2 linked regions of the Lonchura striata genome follow. The main gene of each other region encodes a partner of the protein of the gene in region 2 in a complex. Links are inferred from orthologs where the notes say so. Each region holds a gene or a part of one and is shown on either strand. Other genes may lie near its edges.

Evidence for each region.
Region 1: the proteins of TNFSF13B (region 2) and TNFRSF17 are in contact, whole or in part, in a crystal structure (PDB 1OQD), measured with the Homo sapiens proteins. The link is inferred for Lonchura striata from reciprocal best matches to the Homo sapiens genes TNFSF13B and TNFRSF17. Residues at the interface, in NP_006564.1 of Homo sapiens: Ser162, Tyr163, Lys204, Thr205, Tyr206, Ala207, Met208, Gly209, His210, Arg231, Cys232, Ile233, Glu238, Pro264, Arg265, Glu266, Asn267; in NP_001183.2 of Homo sapiens: Tyr13, Asp15, Ser16, Leu17, Leu18, His19, Ile22, Arg27, Ser29, Ser30, Asn31, Thr32, Pro33, Pro34, Leu35.

The regions. Positions count from the first base shown.
Region 1 is NC_134618.1:8,893,785-8,902,973, forward strand, and holds the start of TNFRSF17 (tumor necrosis factor receptor superfamily member 17), read right to left. Parts: upstream 4,102-9,189; 5' UTR 3,861-4,101; coding exon 3,772-3,860; intron 3,509-3,771; coding exon 3,418-3,508; intron 1-3,417. Other genes in the region: GSPT1 (eukaryotic peptide chain release factor GTP-binding subunit ERF3A), read left to right, coding at 9,170-9,189. UniProt on the Homo sapiens protein: Receptor for TNFSF13B/BLyS/BAFF and TNFSF13/APRIL. Promotes B-cell survival and plays a role in the regulation of humoral immunity. Activates NF-kappa-B and JNK.
Region 2 is NC_134604.1:82,477,306-82,487,200, forward strand, and holds the start of TNFSF13B (tumor necrosis factor ligand superfamily member 13B), read left to right. Parts: upstream 1-6,239; coding exon 6,240-6,566; intron 6,567-6,649; coding exon 6,650-6,755; intron 6,756-9,895. UniProt on the Homo sapiens protein: Cytokine that binds to TNFRSF13B/TACI and TNFRSF17/BCMA. TNFSF13/APRIL binds to the same 2 receptors. Together, they form a 2 ligands -2 receptors pathway involved in the stimulation of B- and T-cell function and the regulation of humoral immunity.

The sequences.
Region 1 (9,189 bases), on a different chromosome or scaffold from region 2:
AATTGAGAAGCTGTTTATACAGTAAAATATTGGATTCAGACAACAAATGAAACAAAAACCAGAAGCATTAAGAATAAATTCATTAAGTGACATTAAGAATATTGTTACTTAGAAACTGTATCTATATTATGTTAATAATCATTCTGTTGCCTTGTATAATACACATTAAATCCTCTAAGCAGAATACCGATTTGTTACATGTAGACTATGCAAACACACAAAAAAAATGAGATGATGGTATGGAATGATGGTTCTTCTACAGTGATATTTACCTTTAGGGAATAATAAATGCATGCCTTACTTACCAGTAAAGTTACATTTCAGCTTTTGTTCAGTTATGGGATTTACAGAGCTTGCACTGGCTTTCCAAACAATTACATGTTGATGCTAATAAATGCTCTCTTCTTTTAATTTGATTTTGCTTCAAAACAATGGCAGAAATAAGCAGAGTTGGACAAAATAAGAAAGGATTTATCAACTACAATAATCATTCAACCATAAATCACAAAGTATTGCCAGGGAAGTATTTCTGCAGTTACATTACTGTAACTGAAATTCAAAAACTACCCAAGATATCCTCTAAGAATAATTCAGACAAGTTAAGTTGGCCTGCTGGAGTTGGCATCCTTACAGAGAGCAATGGGAAAAAATGCAAGAAGTGAAGTATCAACTGCAGAAAGAACAGGAAGAAAAAAGAGAAAAGGAAAACCAATTCTCAGATTTGTTTCCAAAATTTTCTGACTCAGGAATGACACCTGGGGACAATTTATAAAGACCAGTATGAATGCTATTTTCTGTTTGTTGTTTAAAAGAATGGTTTTAGCACTGACAGTTGTAGTAGGGTATCAAATTGCTGAACAGCATTTCAAGCAATCAAATCATTTTTACAGGTGAAAGGAGTACAGGTGAAGGGAGCATAACCCAGCATAGAGCAGGAGTTGGTGCTTTGGAGTTGTACACAAACATACACAAATGGTTTAGACCTACAGCCTTCTCCCATGGGAGCAGAACACCTCCAGTTTCATGTTGTTGTGGCATAAAACAGGCACACCAAGCACTGAACATCCAGCTAGAGCATTTCCTGCCATGAACCCAAATTTGACTGCTGGTTTTGTTAAACATCTGGAGAAACCAAAGACTTACAGAAATCCTTGTCAGTTCTTATTTGTGACATATTAAATTGATATTATGTAACAGAAATCAGTCACCTGGAAAAGGTAAGAAAAATTTTTTCTCTCACTATTTAACTTGAAAAAGCTGTTGTGAGTGTCTAAGCAAAAATAATAAAATGAGGACTCTGGATGGAAAATCAAAGTAAGTAATATCATCATATCAATGATTAAAGATTGAAATTCATCTGTCACAGAACAATAACTTGATCTGTTTACCACATATAACTTAAACAACAAAGTTTTGTTCTGGCACTACTTCAGGCTTTCTCTGTTGAAGCGTGTGCCAACTTTTTTGCCTGACTGTACTTGAGAAATTCTGCTGGCATAATTACATAGCACTTACCAAGAGAAAGAGGGTTTTCTGCTAGGACTATAACATTCCCTTCACAAACAACATTAGCTAGGCTGACAAAGGAATTCTTCTGGTTGTATAGTTGCTTCTACATTGATGGTTTTGTGCTGGCACAGCTCTTTTTTTCCCACTCACTAAGGCAACTGACCTATGCTGTCAAATCATATACTACAGGCTTGCTCTGATCCTCTCCAATTCTCTAAAGCTATTTACAGAACAAATCCCCCAGAAAAGTCTCTTATAAATCACCTCACCTCAACAATCCTAAAAATCTGTAAGACCAATGTACATACCAAAAAACACTTTTTCTTCTCAAAAGTTATTGCACTTCTAGGAAAAGCAGTCTTACAGAAGTCATCTCCTAAAACAGTGTTAAAGATTTCTGAAACAGTTATTTTCAGAAATCCATGTTTTGTGAAGTGCATGCTTTGACTGTATGGCTGGGAGGAGATAAGCTGTTCTAGGAATGGGGCACACACTGCTAGTAAATAAAAGAATGGAGCTATTAAAGGGTTCATCATGTTCATTAACTTTTACAAGCTGCACTGAACAATGCTGCTCTTAGACAAAATATTGTTTAATGTCATTTGCACACAGAGCAAAAACAAGAACAATGTGGATTTTGCCTGTTTGGTTCAGCACATTTTAATTAGACCACAGCTTTGAAAAGAGTGATGTTGCTGGTGCTACATTGAGTATTTCCAAAATGGATTAAAGAGAAAACAACAGAAGAGAAAATGTTCTTTTAAAATAGTGATTAAAATAACAATAGTATAAACACAGTCAATTAAGTCACAGACAGCTTCTGTATCCCCCACTGTGTTCAAAGCTGACATAGCTAGGAATGAGTTTATGGAACAGAGGAAGTGCACAGCCCAGGAAAGCAGTCCTAATAGACTCCAAACCCTTGGGGCAAAGAAGATATCTTTTCATTTTTCTGACATTCCACATGTGCTGGAATAGTTATGTAACTACTAAGGACAATCCATAAAAAAGGGATTGTGCAAGCAAGTTTGGATAAGCCAATGCTTGTTAGAATGCCAGTGACATTTTTATGTTGGTACAATAGTTTTTACAGAATATAAATATAATTTATTTCTTAATGTAAGCACTTATATTTTGTGTTGGAAAAATGATCTCTTGCGTGCTACTATTATAGGGATTTTGCAGGTAGACAAAATAAACTAAAAATCATCAGTGGTATAATGCCAACAGGAGTATTGGAGTTACAACAAAAATAAATGTGCAGGAACAATTATGAATTACGTGAAATGCTTGGCATACACTAAAGTCTAACAGAAATTTTTGTTCTGGTAATTTAAGCCAAATTCTCTAGCTAATCAGAAGTTTGAGTAATGCACATTCACTTTTTTCAAATTCTCATGAACAGTAATCACAGTGTCAATGTGTGCTCTCTCTCAAGACAGGAGGGAAATTGCAATTGATTTAGCCACCACTACTCCAGAATAATTCCCCATGCAAATTGCTGTCTCTGGAATAAGAATACTGGCACAGAATACTCCTAGAGTAATTAAGCCTATTTAGAAACAAACTCACTACTTCATTCTCACAATTCCATAATGAAGTAATTATTTTCTGCAACAATGATAACATGTTAAGTAGCCATAGAAGAACAGCTTTAAAAATCCCATGAAGCTGTTATTCTTCCTTCATAACAATAATGCCATTCTGCTTTAGTCATTACAGAAACTAAAATCTTAAGGGATCTCTAATGGACAACATGCTCCCTCAACTGGAATTCCAGAGAATTAAGAAGGTGAAAAGAAAGCACATGAAAATCCCACATGGAACCAGTTTTCTATTTTCCCCTCCCTTGAGACAGCCAGCATGTAAAATTTTCCATATAGAACTGAAGTGTCATAAAACCCTTACCATATTCATAAAGCAGGAGATCTGGCCTGGAGCTATTACAGTATCCAGCAGTGGACATGGCAGCTCGGCGCTTCTCCATGTCAGGGAGTGCCTGCAATCAGAAAGGGTGTGAATAAACAGTGTGTTAATACTCAGCCACTCCTCATCACACTTGTGCTCCAGCCCCTTCCCCAGCTCTGTTCCTTTCTCAGGACATGATCCAGCACCTCAATGTCCTTCCTGTCATGAGGGGCCCAGAACTGGACACAACACTCGAGGTGTAGCCTCAGCAGCGGTGGTGACTGCGCTGGTCCTGCTGGCCATGCTGCTTCTAAGGAAGCAAAAGGTTAATTTTCTAATCAAAATACTGCTAACCTAAATAAAAGCGTAAGAACAGAAAAACAGAGGTCTGGATTGTACTTCACAAGATTTCTTTTCAGCTGCTTCAATATTTTGATTGACATGATGCCTCCTCCCACCAATCCTAAACCTGGCTTTCAGATCTCTGAAACCACACAATCTCTGCCTTCAAATATCTTCAAAATAGATTCTCTCCTGTCTCTAACCTTCCTAGTCCCAGCTCAGTCACTGTTTACATCATTTAAGTGATCTCATTCTTCCCTTCCTTGGATGCGCATTCTTTGCTCAGCACATTCCTTCCACATTGAGCAATCCCTCTGCTATTCACAGCATTTTAACTGTCATAAGGTTTATAAACTGTGCACAGGTTCTTCACAATCTGCACACCTAAATTCCCATCTTCGTTTCTTTTGAGCTTTGATAGCAAGAAACCCACACACACAACAGTTTTGACAGAAAAGCTACTTACCTTAACTACTCTCCCTCTCCTATTTTTCAGTCTGGAGTCTCAGGGTATAAAACCACAGAAGAAATTCTGTCTGAGGAGGCACTGCACTGCCTGTGCATTCAAAGAGAGGCATCGTGAGCAATGATCCAACAAGAACTCACCTTACAGATCTCTGAGATCTAAACAACACAGGGTAACTAAGCAATAGATCACACAGCTGAGAATTCTGAGCCTCCAATTAGAGTCACCTGAAAAAAGGGATGGCACTTGCAAAAAAAGACCTTTCAGTTTTTCTTTTTCAAAATACACAATCAAAGAGAATAAAGGTTGTTTATACACATAACAGTGAGAGATGCACATGACTATTTTTAAAAATAATGAGCTGAACATGGGAGGTACTTGAGAGCGGAGAAGATGGACACAGAAAATTACAAACTGGCATTCTGGTGTAGCAATCCATGCATTTCTTTTGCTATCTAAAGGAAAACCAATTAACTTTATGCCCTTTTTGGAGCCTGCAGTATGTGTTTAATTGCTCCAAAAAGGAGTGATCAAAAAAGGCTTTAACTAGATTGAAGAATAGAAGAATCCAGCTCTAAAGTACTCATTGCCAACCCACAATGAAATGTGAAACAAATTCTAAATTCCTTTGCAGATGTGGAGTAATTCTATGATTGGACTGTGAAATTGAGCTTATGCTCTGGTGCTACATTTGGAAAACCAAAGAAGAATTTGATTTGAAATTCTTCCAGTGAAATAGCTTCAAATACATTTCTATGATGGAATTCATGGACTGCAGTTCTGCCAATGCCCAGAACAGGGAGAGGAACAGGCCAGAAAGAGCATTTGTTAAATAGCAGTGTTGGAACAACAAATCAGTAAAAAGATGCTTCTGGGGCAAGATATCTTAGTTTGCATTAGACATGGTCTTGTGTCAATATAAAAGCCTCTTTATTCACTTACACTTCCACGAGCACCAGTAAAGCATAGGAAAGACTTGGTTCTTAATGAACCCATCATGCTGAAACATACTTGTGTTTTCTATTCTCTAGTTCGCAGCTACATCTCCACAGACTACCTGGAAAGAGAATTTACCAGGGTTTAAGAATATTAATTTATCAATTCCTGGCACCTGGTCAAACTTTTAACAATTTACTTCTTACCTCCTGTCTTTTCTTTCTCCTAACTAAATAACTTGTTCCTTTGGCTTTGTTTCTACAGGCTCTTTCTGACTTCAAAGCAATTCTAAATATCAGGCTACTCATTTAGGTGCATAACTACTGTACATATTTGAATACCTTTAAAGATGAGGGTATGGCTCACACGGCGTCACTGCAATCCCAGCTTGCTGCCACGCCAGAAAGGGAAGTAGTATTCCTTTCCTGCTCCTCCCAGTCTCAGCCAAAATGTTTTTTCCCATGTTGCAGTAGCTCAGGAATTTACTTGATATCAAGGTAAACTGAGTCAATTCAGCCATAAAACAACTCTCTCTCATTTTAAAGCTGTTGGTAGTTTATGGAATTTTAAAAACTTACTTGTTGGTACTGAGCAAGTAACTTCTTGAAGCTGTTAACCTGTTTGGAGCCTTCTAGTGAAATCCATCTTTTTCTCCTGCTTCAGTTCACATGGCTAAATCATTGGTATTCGTAGGTGTCCCTGCCAGGCTGCAAAGTGCTTGTGGGAGCTTGGGTGGAAGTTACTACCAAAGTACAGACCACTATTTCCAATACCATATGAACAGAGCCCTCCATTTCACTGCTATAGCACTGACTCACCACCGACTGCAAATTAGTGGTGAAGCTGCCTTGGGATAGTTTATTATATTAATAACTTGCTCTCACCCAAAAAATAAGTCCTGTTCCACATTCTTACTTTATACCAGCCCTGGCATTTGTCAAAAGCTTCTTATTTGATTCATCTGAGTAGCCCAGGAGGAAAAATAAAGTGGATTGTTCTGACACTAAATTTAATGAGCTGGACAGACTCAGCACAGGGTCTAACAGCTCAGAGGCAGCACAAGGATGGATATTAGAACTGCAGCTGTGGGAGGGGGACAATTTCTTTGCCCCTCAGTCATCATATATTAACCCTAAGCTGGGCCAGACTCCTCTTTTCTAAGCAGTCTTGATCACTTAAGTAATTCATGATATGAGAATGGATTTATATGGGTGGTTCTCAATAAGAAAAGCTTTTAAACATTTATTAAATGAAGAGCTGGTATATTTATTCTAAACATTTTCATGCAGAAGAGATTTAAACAAAAAAAAAGCTTTTATAATGCTTTAAAACCTCAAGTAAACAGGACCATTTACACTCCAGTGGATATTTTGCCAGTAAAATTATCATAATTCCACTTTTGTTTTGAGTACCAGCTGTTCCAAAATGGAAAAACAAACTACTAACCCTGTTAAAAATTTAGTGTTTGAGTTTACACAATTCCTATGTGTGACAGCCTGTAAAACAGGTCTGTACACTCTGAAGGACATCTGGCATCTTTTGAAATTCTGTGGACTAATTGTTTGTATCCTAGCAAGTACCTAGGGAATACATACCTGTCAAGGAAGGAAGAAAGGTTGTGAAACACAACTAATTCTTTTCCACTGAAATCAGTGGTAATATGCAGTTCTGCACCTCTGATCAAACACTTATTTGGTCCTACTCCCCCTACACAAACACAAAAAAATGTATCACAACGCAGTGCTTTATGAGCCATTGGAAAGAAAGTCCATTTCAAAAACCTTCAAGAAGTTTTTTTAAGGTATGCCAAAATGTGTGCAAAAATTGCTGTCCCTGTGTTCCTTGTGCTGATCATTTTAAGGTCCTTAACTGCTCGGAAAAGGCAGCACCTGCCCCCAGTTAAGGCTTTCCTGACCTGTAGGCTGTGCCAGGGCTCAAACAAAACAGGAGCTTGCAGTACAGCATTGCACTCATTATAAACGTGAGCTGTTCAATGCTCACAGTGACAGTAAAAAGTGTTCAGTAACAAGTCACTGTCAGCAGAATGCACGCTGCTTGCTCTCCAGTGGAGTTTTATCTGTTACTCAACACTAGTAATCCCTGAGTGCTAAAATGGTGCTACCTTGTTTCCATACTATATGAAATGTATCAGACACCTCTTGGTTAATAAATGTCACCTAACAAGCAAAGGTTAGAACTAAAAGAAAGCAAACTAAAACAAACCACTGCATGCTACTTTTCCTTTAGTTAAACTGAAAAGTGATTGCCATGCACAGCTGGGACTTATTGCAGCTTGACAAAAATTCTAAATACTCTATTTGAAAAATAGAGTATATTTTTAACTCTGTGCCAGAGAATAGGGTTAGGGTTAACCTCTTGGTGGTGCTTGAAGGAAAGGCTTCCACTTAGGCAGAGGTTTTTAGTCTCTCATTATAAGTGATATCTTTTCTTCCAATATGAACTTTCTATGGTGTTACTGGGGCTTTGGTTTTTTGGCTTTGTTTTTGGGTTTTTTTGTTTTTCTTTTTGGTGTTTTTTTTCTTTCCTTTTGTAAGTGCTACCCTGCACACTAATGTTTTCCCTGGCTATGATCTGTTGGAAGCCCATACTTCCATTAACATCTGTAGAAGTTTTTGTTTGTCCATGGCCCACATGTTGCTGCTGGTGTGTAGCCAGAGCCCTCTGGTTCTCGTGTCAGGGTTACATTACACAAATGCCCCTTCAGGAAAGCTTTTGTTCTGCAACAAAAACTGCCCTGGACTCTGCACCAAACGGAGATCTTTCATTTTTAGTTCTAAGACTATCTGTTTTCAAAACAACTCTGTAATCTGTCCTACAGTGTTCTAATATGAATAATGCTGCAGATGACTCGGCCCTCACGTGTCAGCACTCCAAGAAACTCCCAAGTATTTGCTTTGCGCATTATAAACACACTGTACCTTATGAGACAAAATGCTGCCACAGCCTCGTGCAGACCTGTAACCAAAATCTACTAGTTTCCTCTCTGTTCTGCGCTGTTTCCTCCAAATATACTTAACTTCAAGCGATGTCTTTTGAGTTTGTTTGTTGAGATTTTGTAATAAAAACTTCTAAGAGTCATACCACTGGGGAGAGGGCCTCAGTATTTGGCAAGGCCTACTGACTCTGGCCATTATAATGGGATAGGTTTTTTACATGGTTAACAACCAAGTCAAAGTGTCCTACAGAATGACCAAAATTGGAACTTTCATGCATCCTGTCCACTTTTGGCCGGACAGGTACGGCAGCGTTCCCTCTAGCATCCCGAGGGAGGGCGTGTGCCCCCCCAGCCTCCCCGGAGCTCTGCTGCCCTCTGCTCTGCGGGACGCGGTCTGTGAAGCGCTGGGACCTGCCCCGGCGGTGCCGTCCCGCCTCTGCCCCCGTCCCTGTGCAGCTCAGCTCTGCGGGGCGGGCTCGGTGTGATTTCGCAGGGCCCGGAGCTGCCCGGCGGTTCTCATCCCTGTGCAGCTCAGCTCTGCGGGGCGGGCTCGGTGTGATTTCGCAGGGCCCGGAGCTGCCCGGCGGCTCCCGTCCCGCCTGAGGCGGTTCCCGTTCGCGCCAACTCCGCGCTCCGCGTCCCCCTGGGCAGGGCGGCGGGGGCGGGGCCGGCAGGGACGCACGGCGCGCGCGACGGCCGCCGGGAGTTGCAGTTCCTGAGCGCTCAAGGAACGAAGGCAACTCCATTTCCCGTCTGTCCTCGGGAGGCGGGGCGCGGGTGCGCGCGCGTGGTGTGACGGGTATTGTAGTTCCCGCGCCGTGCCTAGGACGTACGGCAGGAGGAGGGCCGGAGGAGATAAAAACTACTACGATGGCGGTAGGAGAGGTTGCCGGGAGGGGGTACGGCGGCCCGAGAGGCCACACTGCGCTCGCGTCGGGGCGGCGGAGCACACGCGGAATCGGCGGAGCGAGTGCTGAGTCGGTGCCGCCGCCGGCTCCCCCCTCACCCGGGAGACGCTTCGGGGCCGCAGAGCCTTGTGGGGCCGCCACAAAATGGAGGCGAACGGGAGCGG
Region 2 (9,895 bases):
TCCGGGCCCGCCTGGATGAAGGTCTCAGCAACTTGATGTAGCGGAGGATGTCCCTGGCCTCAACAGAGTTGGAACAAGATGATCTTGAAAGTCCCTTCCAACCCAGGCCATTCTATGACTCTGAAATGAAACCTAGACCAAGAGCTTGCTGTCTGTTCAAAAGATCATGTATAGACAGATAAGGTTTTGAGAAAATGCTAAAACAGTGGCTTGGCAAAAATTATTTTCTCCAAAGATTTGAATGTGCCTGAGCTTTAAATCTCTTGTTGAACCCTATTCAGGGTCTTCATTTTAGATTTTGTACCGAGTTCTGTCTTTGTAAGTAGATAGGAAGATAAACTGATTATTTTCTGGATTTGTTTTGAAAACATCAATGTGATTAATTTGTTATACTTCAGCTTGGATTAGGGCAGAATAACTCTTGTATTTCTTGGAAAAACAGCATTTTTTCTTTCTCTGAAAGACAATGCAGCTTAAGAGCAGACTTGGTTTTACTGTATTAAAGAACCTGGTTTCACTCCCAGCTGGAGATACATATTTAATAATGTGAAGCAATGAGCTGAGTAATGCAAATCTGCAAGGTGGCTGACAGAAATGTATGTTCACATACCAAGTTCAGAAGTTCCTGCTAGTTTGATAGTAACTCAGGAATGGATTGTGCTGCTTGAGGACAGAAAGAAAGGAAGTTCTACAGCTGGTTTGAATTACACTTAACATCTAGTGTGGGCTAACTATTTACAGAATTTCAAAGGGAAAGGTCAGGCAGATAACCCTTTCTTGTCCGTCCTCTAGGACTCAGGGACAGTGCAGCAAATACGGCTACGGGGAAATTTTGAAAATACTTGAATCCTTGTCCTGTGCCCTCTACTGAAGGTCTCCAGACCATAGCAGCAGCAGAGCAGCCACTCCCACTTGAAGGGCCATAGCTCCGTGTTTATCTTGTTATCATACAAAAGCATTTTTAGCCCATCTGTGCAAAAACTATTGCATAGTGTCAAAGAGGTGGAGAAAAGCAGTTCTCCATGTTGCTGGATAGCAAAGCCGGTGAGACTGTAAGAGGAGTGGGCTTCAGCTGTATGACAGAGCTCCTTTTTCCCTGGGCAGTAAGAAGCAATTGCTGTAACATCATGAGGGAGTGGGGGGGAAGGGGAAGGGGAGGAGGCTGGCATTAAGCTGCTGTAGTATATAAATCCTGGGTTGTCTTTTTATATTTTACATGTTTTGAAAACTATTTTCTAGGTAGTTCTGCTGCATACTTTGAAAGACACCTATAATTGTTTTTCCTTTCTGTGTCAGTTCCTCTTCTCTTTGAAAGTGCTGTAATAACCATGTAAAAAGTGACAGTGGCTGCAAGTCAGATATAGGTTTACTTTGAGTAGTGTGCATTTGGACCCAAATTGTATAGATATCTAGAGAAGTAATATATTGCAAGGAATGAAACAAGGATGACATACCTAAAATGTGCAGAGACATCTGTATTATCCTCGGCAATTTTGAAATGTTGAGGAAAAGAGAAAATATTACCCTTTTTGCCTCAGAAAAATCTCATAGAATTTTTGTTTTCTTTTTAACAGGACAGTTTATCAAATAAGGCTTAAACTGTTTGTATAACACATCCTCTACTTACAAGGTATTCAACAGCTTCCTAGAAGTTAAAATAATAAGATGTAAGATATACAGGCATAGGAGTGGAGTATCAGAAATAGAGTACTTTTGGGATCCATTTGTGAGGCAGAACTTGCCTGGATTTGCTACTGTGTAAGTTGTAGTTAATGGCTGAAAGAACTAATTAAGTGTTCTTTCAGGGAATGTACACTGTTTCAGAGGTGTGTCTGTGAATACTCTTAATACAGATCTCTTCATTAGCAGGAAACTATAACACAGGATTTATTCTGATCTCCCCCAAAATAGTCCTCCTGTTTTGTCCATCTTCAGAAAGGACTTGAAATTAAATGGAAGATTTCAGAATGGAACCTTAGCTTTTTCTGTGCTCTGCACTCTCTTCTGTGGTGAGGCGAGATACCGTGGTCGCTTTCTTGTAATACCCACAGGGACCATTTTGCGGCTGCTTCAGAAGTATGTGAAGCTGGACCCTTGCCACTGGAGGCGTACTTTTAGTGTGGCCTTCAGCACACTTGCATGGCTCTCTGGGTTGCAGCATCTGCACAACCTCCTTTTTGAAAACAGAACATTTGTTTTGAAGTAAACTTTTATGTTTCTTCAGTAAATTGGGTTTTTACGCAAGCCTTCGCAGCCATAGCAACTGCTTCTCTTTTGTATATTGAACTTCGTTATGGGTTTTTCCTCTCCCACAAAGAAGATGGTTTGTGGTTAAAGTACATAAATGGATTTCAAGAAATCAAGAATTCAGCTTCTGGTTAAACCACAAATTTCCTGTATGATTGGTAGCTATCTCTGCCTTGGTTCCCCACCAGATGTAATGTTGATCTCTTATAAATTTTCAGATTAGCAGGACCCATCTTTATAATTTAATCTGATCCTCTGCATAATGGAAATGAAAAAAAAGTTAATTACCTGCATAAAGTTACAGGGCTTGTTTCTGCCATAACATCTTGGAAGTTTTAAACAGCCTTAATTTTGGGTTCAGGATCCCTTAATAATGGGTCCAGGAACCCATTTTCCTGTCTTGCAGTAAAACATTCTCACCTTTAAGCATCTTCAGTGGCAATGTGTTGGGGTCTGGTTTTAATTTATTTATTATTTTGAATTTTACCTAAATTTTTGCTCTCTTTCCTGGAAGTAAAGGACTTGGTTAACTAGAATTCTTAGACTAGCCAAGGCATTTCTTAATAGTTTTCCTTGGCTAAATTAAGGAGTTTTTTTAGTGAGTTAATCTGAGTGTTCAACATAGCTCATGCTTTGGGTTAAGGAGACACTATGGTGTATGCACAGATAATGTACGGTGCATGCAAACTATGATCATGTTTTCAGAATACCTTTATTATAAGTTTTTAATTTTATTTGTTTGCAGAGTTAGATGGCCAGTACTAGGTTTTTGCAGTTTGATGCAATGATATTTTATTTTGTAGCAATAGTTTGGAAAATGCTGCTTTGAGCTGGTCTTGAGGCAGCCCCTAAGGTTTGCTGACTGCATGTGTTTCTTAAGACCAAAATTGTTGATGTGGTACAAAAGTTTGCAAAAGCTTTCAGGAAAGCTGTCCAGTAGAAGCAGGCTGCTACACAAAACCTGAACACAATTTCTGAGATTAGTTCCTTAGACATATTATATTCATTCTGGATTTTTGACCATTTTCACAGTTCAGTTTTGTCAGTCTTAGCTACATGCAAATAGGTTTTGTCAATATAAAAGCACTATGCTATTTCCCCGCAGCATATATATCTGAAGAGTATGCCTCTATTTCAACAAGAATATTCCACTGAGAGCTTGTGATCAGCTGAAGCCATCACATTCCCATGTCTGCTGATGGGAGGCTGATCTGAGCCATACTTAGTGTGCTTTAGTCACGCCTTAGTTTAAAACACAGCAGAAGCAGCATATGCTAAACTTACTGACTTTGCTTTAAGCAGGCTAAGGACCACTTTGCAGCTCTGCCAATGAGAAGAATCATAAGGAGAGGACATTATGACAAGACAGTGGCAAGCATTGAGACACTGACTCTAGATTCTAGGCTCAGCAACTAGCATGGAGTTGTTGTTTGATTTGGGGACTTTTTTGGGTTTGGTGATTTCATGTAATTTTTGTGATTCGCTTTGATGCAATTAGCAATCTGCAATTAACTAAAGCTCCATCTGATTATAATGGAAGTTGTTCAACTAAGCATATTTCTAGGTAATTCATACTGGTTTTCATTTCTTATTGTCATTAGTCACCATTCTTATTCTCATTGTCACCATTTTTGTCATCACAGAAGTTGTGTGAACTTACATTTTCTTTCTAATCACATAACTACTTATAAATCTACAGAACAACACAAGGTTGCCAACAAAAAATCCCTTTGATGCTTAGCTACAAATGCCTGTTGAATTTAACAATTTCTCATGTGTGGGAGATGAGATTTTCCTCATCTCCCCTTTGAAATTGTCACTGATGAGAATTATAAGCAAAATGGAGCTAGGTGTCTTACAGAAGTCCTCTATGTCATCGCAATTACTTTGTCAGCCCAAATAATGACCCTATTTAAGGAGGCTATGGAGGCTGGGAATAGCCTATTTTCTCTAGAAGTGGCTAGAGCACTGCTATTTATATACCAGTCTGTTATTTTCTGATACATTAATGACTGCAGAGACCTCGCTGGCCAATAGTTCCTTGGTGTTCCTGGATAGCTAGTTAAAACTTTCCTGTTCTCACTCCATTTCATTTTCTAAAATAGTACTTCTTTTCCAACTGTCACATTATTTTTTATTTTTGGAACAGTCAGTACTAGGCTGGTAATATTCTGATGTCTAGGGATACTTGAAGGCATGTCTGCTTAGTACCAATAATTGCTTATTCTGTTAAAAAAACCCATTACATTAGCTCATATTAAATTTACTTCAAAATGCAGCCACATTTAGAGCTTAGCTTAGCCTTTAAAATAGGAACAGAAATGGTATAGTATTCTATTTTTTCCACCCCACACTGATTTCTATATAATTTATCACAGTATATATGTGACTTCTAGGTGCAAGATACAGGATATATTTTTTCCCTTTGCATTTAGGAACAGATTTACTTATCTTTACAGGATGTGTGTGGTTGCTAGAGGTGGCAAAATAAAGAAAAGAGCACCTTTAATTACAATAGAAGATGATAAAGCTTATAATCACACTAAATTTCTTGTAGCCTTAAGAAACAGAAGGGGGAGAGGCTATGGAAGTTGTTACTCTATTGTTGCTCCTTCTTCCTTCTCCTTCCCAACAGAATTAACTTGATCTGAGCTACTCTGGTTAGGTGTTGTCATCAGGATTTTTTGCAAAAACTCCTGTTTGGACTGACCTGTAAAAGTTTTATCTTTGCAAAGATAAAGTTTACTTACATGATAAAGAGGGGTTGATTTTAGCCATAATTGTGACACTTTTGATATTTTTTTCTTCTGTCCCAAACCACTGAAACTTTTAACAAAGGGGTAAAAGTTGAGTTTTGTGGGAGATGATAATAAAAAAATCACATTAACATATGTGGGATTTCTAGGTAGCCCTGCTGTTGCAGTGAAGAAAGAAAATCCAAATACAGAGTTTTAAGATTAAAATACTTATAAAATCTTAAAAGATTAACTTTAACCAGACACTCAGGATTCACCTGAGTATTGCCAGCATGCATGTTTAAAGTTGTGGGTTGTTTTTAATTTTAAATTCTCTAAATAAATATTTGCCCTTTCAGCCTGTTCATATTTCCCCCTCTGTCATTCTTTTCCATCCCCTAGTTTTCACCTCTTCTAGTTCTACCCCACCGAGTTTCCTCTTTGTGCTTCTTCGTGTTCCCTTTTGCATTAATGCAGTTTCTCGAATTCTTTAGAGAGACTGTATTTATTAGAAAAGTTTATTAAAATGTCATCCCTTTTCAAGTTTTTTTGATGAACTGAACTGCAGAATTTACATCTTCATACAACTGAGAACCTGTAATTTGTCTCATACCTGGGAATGTTTTTCATTATTGTTTTTAGAAAAAGACAAAAAAATATTTTGAATAATTTGTCTCCTCTGTAGGCATATTGGCACTTTAGCTATGAATATAAACACATTAATATAAATGATATAATGTATATACAGAGTACATCTATATGCTTTCATACACACAGAAGCACATGCCTGTCATACGTGGATGTCTTTTAAGTACCACTGGATGAAATGCTGCCAGGAAACTTTACATGGTTGCTGCCAGGAAATTTTACATGGTTTCTGCACTTCTAGATAAGGCTCCAAATCACCAGTGGTACTGGCTGTGCCTAAATTTAAAGATTATGGGAAATGGCTATAGCAAGCTGCCACATGAATAACTAGTGGAAAGTGAAAGGAGGAAGGTAGCTTGTGAGAAAGTATTCGTTTCCAAAATGCAGCACAGAGAGGTGGAAACAAAGGGAAGACAGAATCTTAGCTGTTCACTCTGTACATTAAGTCTAATGGTGCTATCAACAGCTTCATATGACAGGAAATGATCTGGGCGTTTTGTTCACTTATTCTGGATGCCCTTAGTTTCAGAGAGCAACTGGTAACATGGATTGCACCTCGGAAGGGGACAGCTGAACTCTCCCTCTGGCTTTAGTAAGGAAAGAGCAGCGATGAAATCCGTGGACTGTGTGCACGTCATCCAACAGAAGGATACCGCCTCCTCTCCCTCTGCCCCCACTGGTGCTGTTTCAGGCACCACGGGACTTTTTCCTGTCACATTCCTGTGGCTTGCAATGCTCCTGTCCTCTTGTCTTGCAGCAGTGTCTCTTTACCATGTTATCATCCTGAAAACAGAACTAGAAGCTCTGCGCAGCGAGCTCATCTACAGCATCCAGGCAAGGTCTCCGCTAGACCAACCACTCGTGTCCCCCGATGAAAATAAAGCAGGTACCCCTGTTTCTTCCTTCCTGCAAGTGTCTGCAGCTGGCTCCAGGCAGGTAAGCAGGAGGGGTTGGTTTTGACTTGCAGGGCTTGGACCAATGTGGGGCTGCTCTCACTGACTGTTGCTTCTCCTTGTTAGGAGAGCAGGCTTGCTGGTACTGGCACAGCTGAGAGTTTCCAAAAGGAAATCTGGAACGGGAGTAGAAACAGGGGCAGGCGGTCTGTTGTCAACACAGAAGAAAAAGGTAAATACCAGCTGATGAAGTGGTTTTGGATACTGCTGTTGGATATTGTCTAGAGAAAAGCAGGAGTGTTTGATTTGTGTTTTCTTTCTCCTATCTATTGATCTGTGCTCCCAGAGCCCATTCTGGTTTTCAAAATTATTGGTGGATGAATGCTGTTAACCTTAGGCATATTCTCTTAAAAGACAGAATACACAGAATGTTTTGGTTTTGAAGGGATCTTTAAAGGTCATGTAGTCCAAGCACCCTGTCATGAGTAGGGACATATCTGTTGTACCAGATATTTATGCTATCTGCAGGTTAAACTTGAATGCTAGATCCCAAATCTGCATGATGTGTTAGAGTTGAGAAAGGCAACTTCAAATCAATTAGACCTTTAACTGTTCAATTCTCTCTGATCAAAACAGGGAGGGAAATCTATTAGTAAAAATGCCAATTTACTTTTCTGAGAAACATGCTCACCCTAAAAGAGAGAAGTAATGACAACTTTAGGGAAATAGGAGCTTTCAAGAAGAAAGGCTGGCTTGTACCTGAAAAAAGAGGCAGACTACAAGGAATTCAGAAGTTAAGCATAATTTTTACATTAAAACAATCTATCAATAAATAGTAAAATTAATAAAAGAATGCCTATCCAGTAAGATTTTTTTGTCATAGTTCTTCCTTTTTAAAAGGTTCTGGAAAGAGCACTGACTGTGCTCCATGTGTATTATAGATGTATTACAGAGTTGACATATTAATGGGATATATTTTTTTCCTTAAAATGCCTACATTTCTTTCATATTCCAAACACAATGAGGATGAAATGCAGAATGTTATTGTACTAATTTGCACACATACTCTAATTGCACTGAGTAACTAAAGTATTCCAGAGCTGCTAAACCAGTTCACTCTTCTTTTGTATATTTTTATATTATTTTAACAGATATCGTAAACAATTTAGAGAAGTTTAATGGAGCAAATTATAGGTAAAGACTAAATGAAGCTTTGAATAAAATGTGTTTGTCAGTGAGCAATTAACATGACATGTATTTCACTTGAGCTTCAGTAAGCTAAATGAAATTAAAGTTCTAGTGTAGAATCACTTCATTTAATTCCAATATTCAAAAATATGCCATTAAGGACATCACTTAAAATCCACCGATTTATGTGAGATTTTTTCTATTTCGTTAGTAGTCTTTGATTCAAGGTCTTGGCTAAGAAAGATTTCGCAAACAGGACTGAGGTCATGATTGCTTAAATTGTATTTCTTGTAGCCTGTTTCCTTCCACAGGAACCACATAGCTCCCCTGCCCTCCCCACCCTAGGAACTCCCAAATAAAAACAAGTGATCTGAAGTGCAAGTATCATAAAAAATAAGGAGGTGTCTTTTTTAAATGAATGTTAGAGCACCAGTACTCTGCAAGTGATCCAACTTCCTTCACAATAGCTTTCATCTTTACTCTTATTGCTATTTGAAGCAAGCAGGGTTTGGGGCTCCTCAGCTGTGCTTCTGAGTAGACTTTTGATTCTTCTCATCATGTAGCCACCTCTGATTATACCTGTTTATCTGTAACACAGAACATTTCAATTATGCTACTTATTTCTGTAAACATTTTTAAGGTACAGCTGGCTTTAAAGTTGTTTAGGATGGATGAAAGAAAACACATATGAACATTTATTTTAAAGGGAAAAAGCTACATAAGTTGACCTATTACAAATATGTTTTCTAACATGAACCTCATATTTTTGTATATAAAAAAGAAAAAAGTAAATTGCAAATCTTGAATTTTTATCCAAGTTTGTCTGTTAGAATTAGCTTTCTGCCTGCTCTAATTACAAAAAATTTAGCTTTTCAGAGTTTAGTTACGTATTATATTTTCTCAGATCAGATTTCACTGATGACCATGAACCTACTAGTCAATGTTAAATTTTGTTTTAGCAGAGTGAGTTAAACAGAAGAACATGGTGTTGTTCATGGTGCTGAATCCAGTCTACTACTTGGTCATGTACACAGAAGTACAGACCCTGCATTTTGATTGTTTGACATTCATATCTGGGTACCAGAATCCCATCAGCCTCCAAACTGTCCTGCAGATGTGTGGCACTTATTATGTTATAATAAAAAATAAATCAGGGTATTGAGTGAGGTGCCTATTCTTGTCCTACTTCTGTTTGCTTCAGCAAGGTCTCAAAGTAGAGTCTTATTTTATAATTAATTGTTGAGCCATCATTTTACTTTTATATAGATCAATTCCTTAGAAAGTTAATATTGGGAAACATCACTGGTATCTAATTGCTTCTCTTGTGCTTCAACAGAGAGCAGAAGTAAAATACAGAACTAATATCTTGTATATAAATAAAGTTATTGTTCAGTTCTGGGCTTTTTAGACTTTAATCATCAAATTCCAGGAATGGATGCCCCATCATTCTTTTTTTACAACCAGCATAGCCTTTCTTAAACATACTGAATTTCCATTTTAATGCATACAAGTGGCCACAAATAAGCATTTTAATTAAAAGGACAACTGAACGAAAGTGAATCTAACACAATATTGTTACTTTTTTTATGGGGTTTACATTTGTCTATGCTAATGCATAAAATTATTAGTCATCAGTAGTTGCACATTTTGTGTCTTGCAAAAATTTCCAGCTTGGGTAGGTTGAAGAGAAATGTTTCAAGCATCAATTCCAAAAAAAGCTGCACAGTCAGCAGTCAGAACCAGAGTTCTTGATGCAATGAGTAGGAGGTAATGGGTGATTTTGAAATGTATGCCTCTGGCAAATGTCATATCAGGACATGTTACAACAAATGTACTTTTTCTTTTTGTCTTTCTCTTTACAAATTTCATCTATGGAGGAAAATTGGTGCACAGCCTAAAACCTCTCCTGAATTCTATATTCTATTCACAGTTATTGATTGTGTTGCCTGTGTGTTTCTTTCTAAGCTGCATGTGCACTTGAGCCTGGGAACAAGATTTAGGTCCCATTGCCTAAGCCAAAGTACGAACGTCAGGTTTCATTTTCACACTCTCTCAGTGTCTCATTCTGCTCATTATTGTGGGATTCTGATTTCCATGGCCTAGGGAGGTGAGAATCAGGTCTTCTGTAAATGCAAATGCAGGTGACCTACTGGGATCAGACTGGAGCCCCCATGGACTACATTT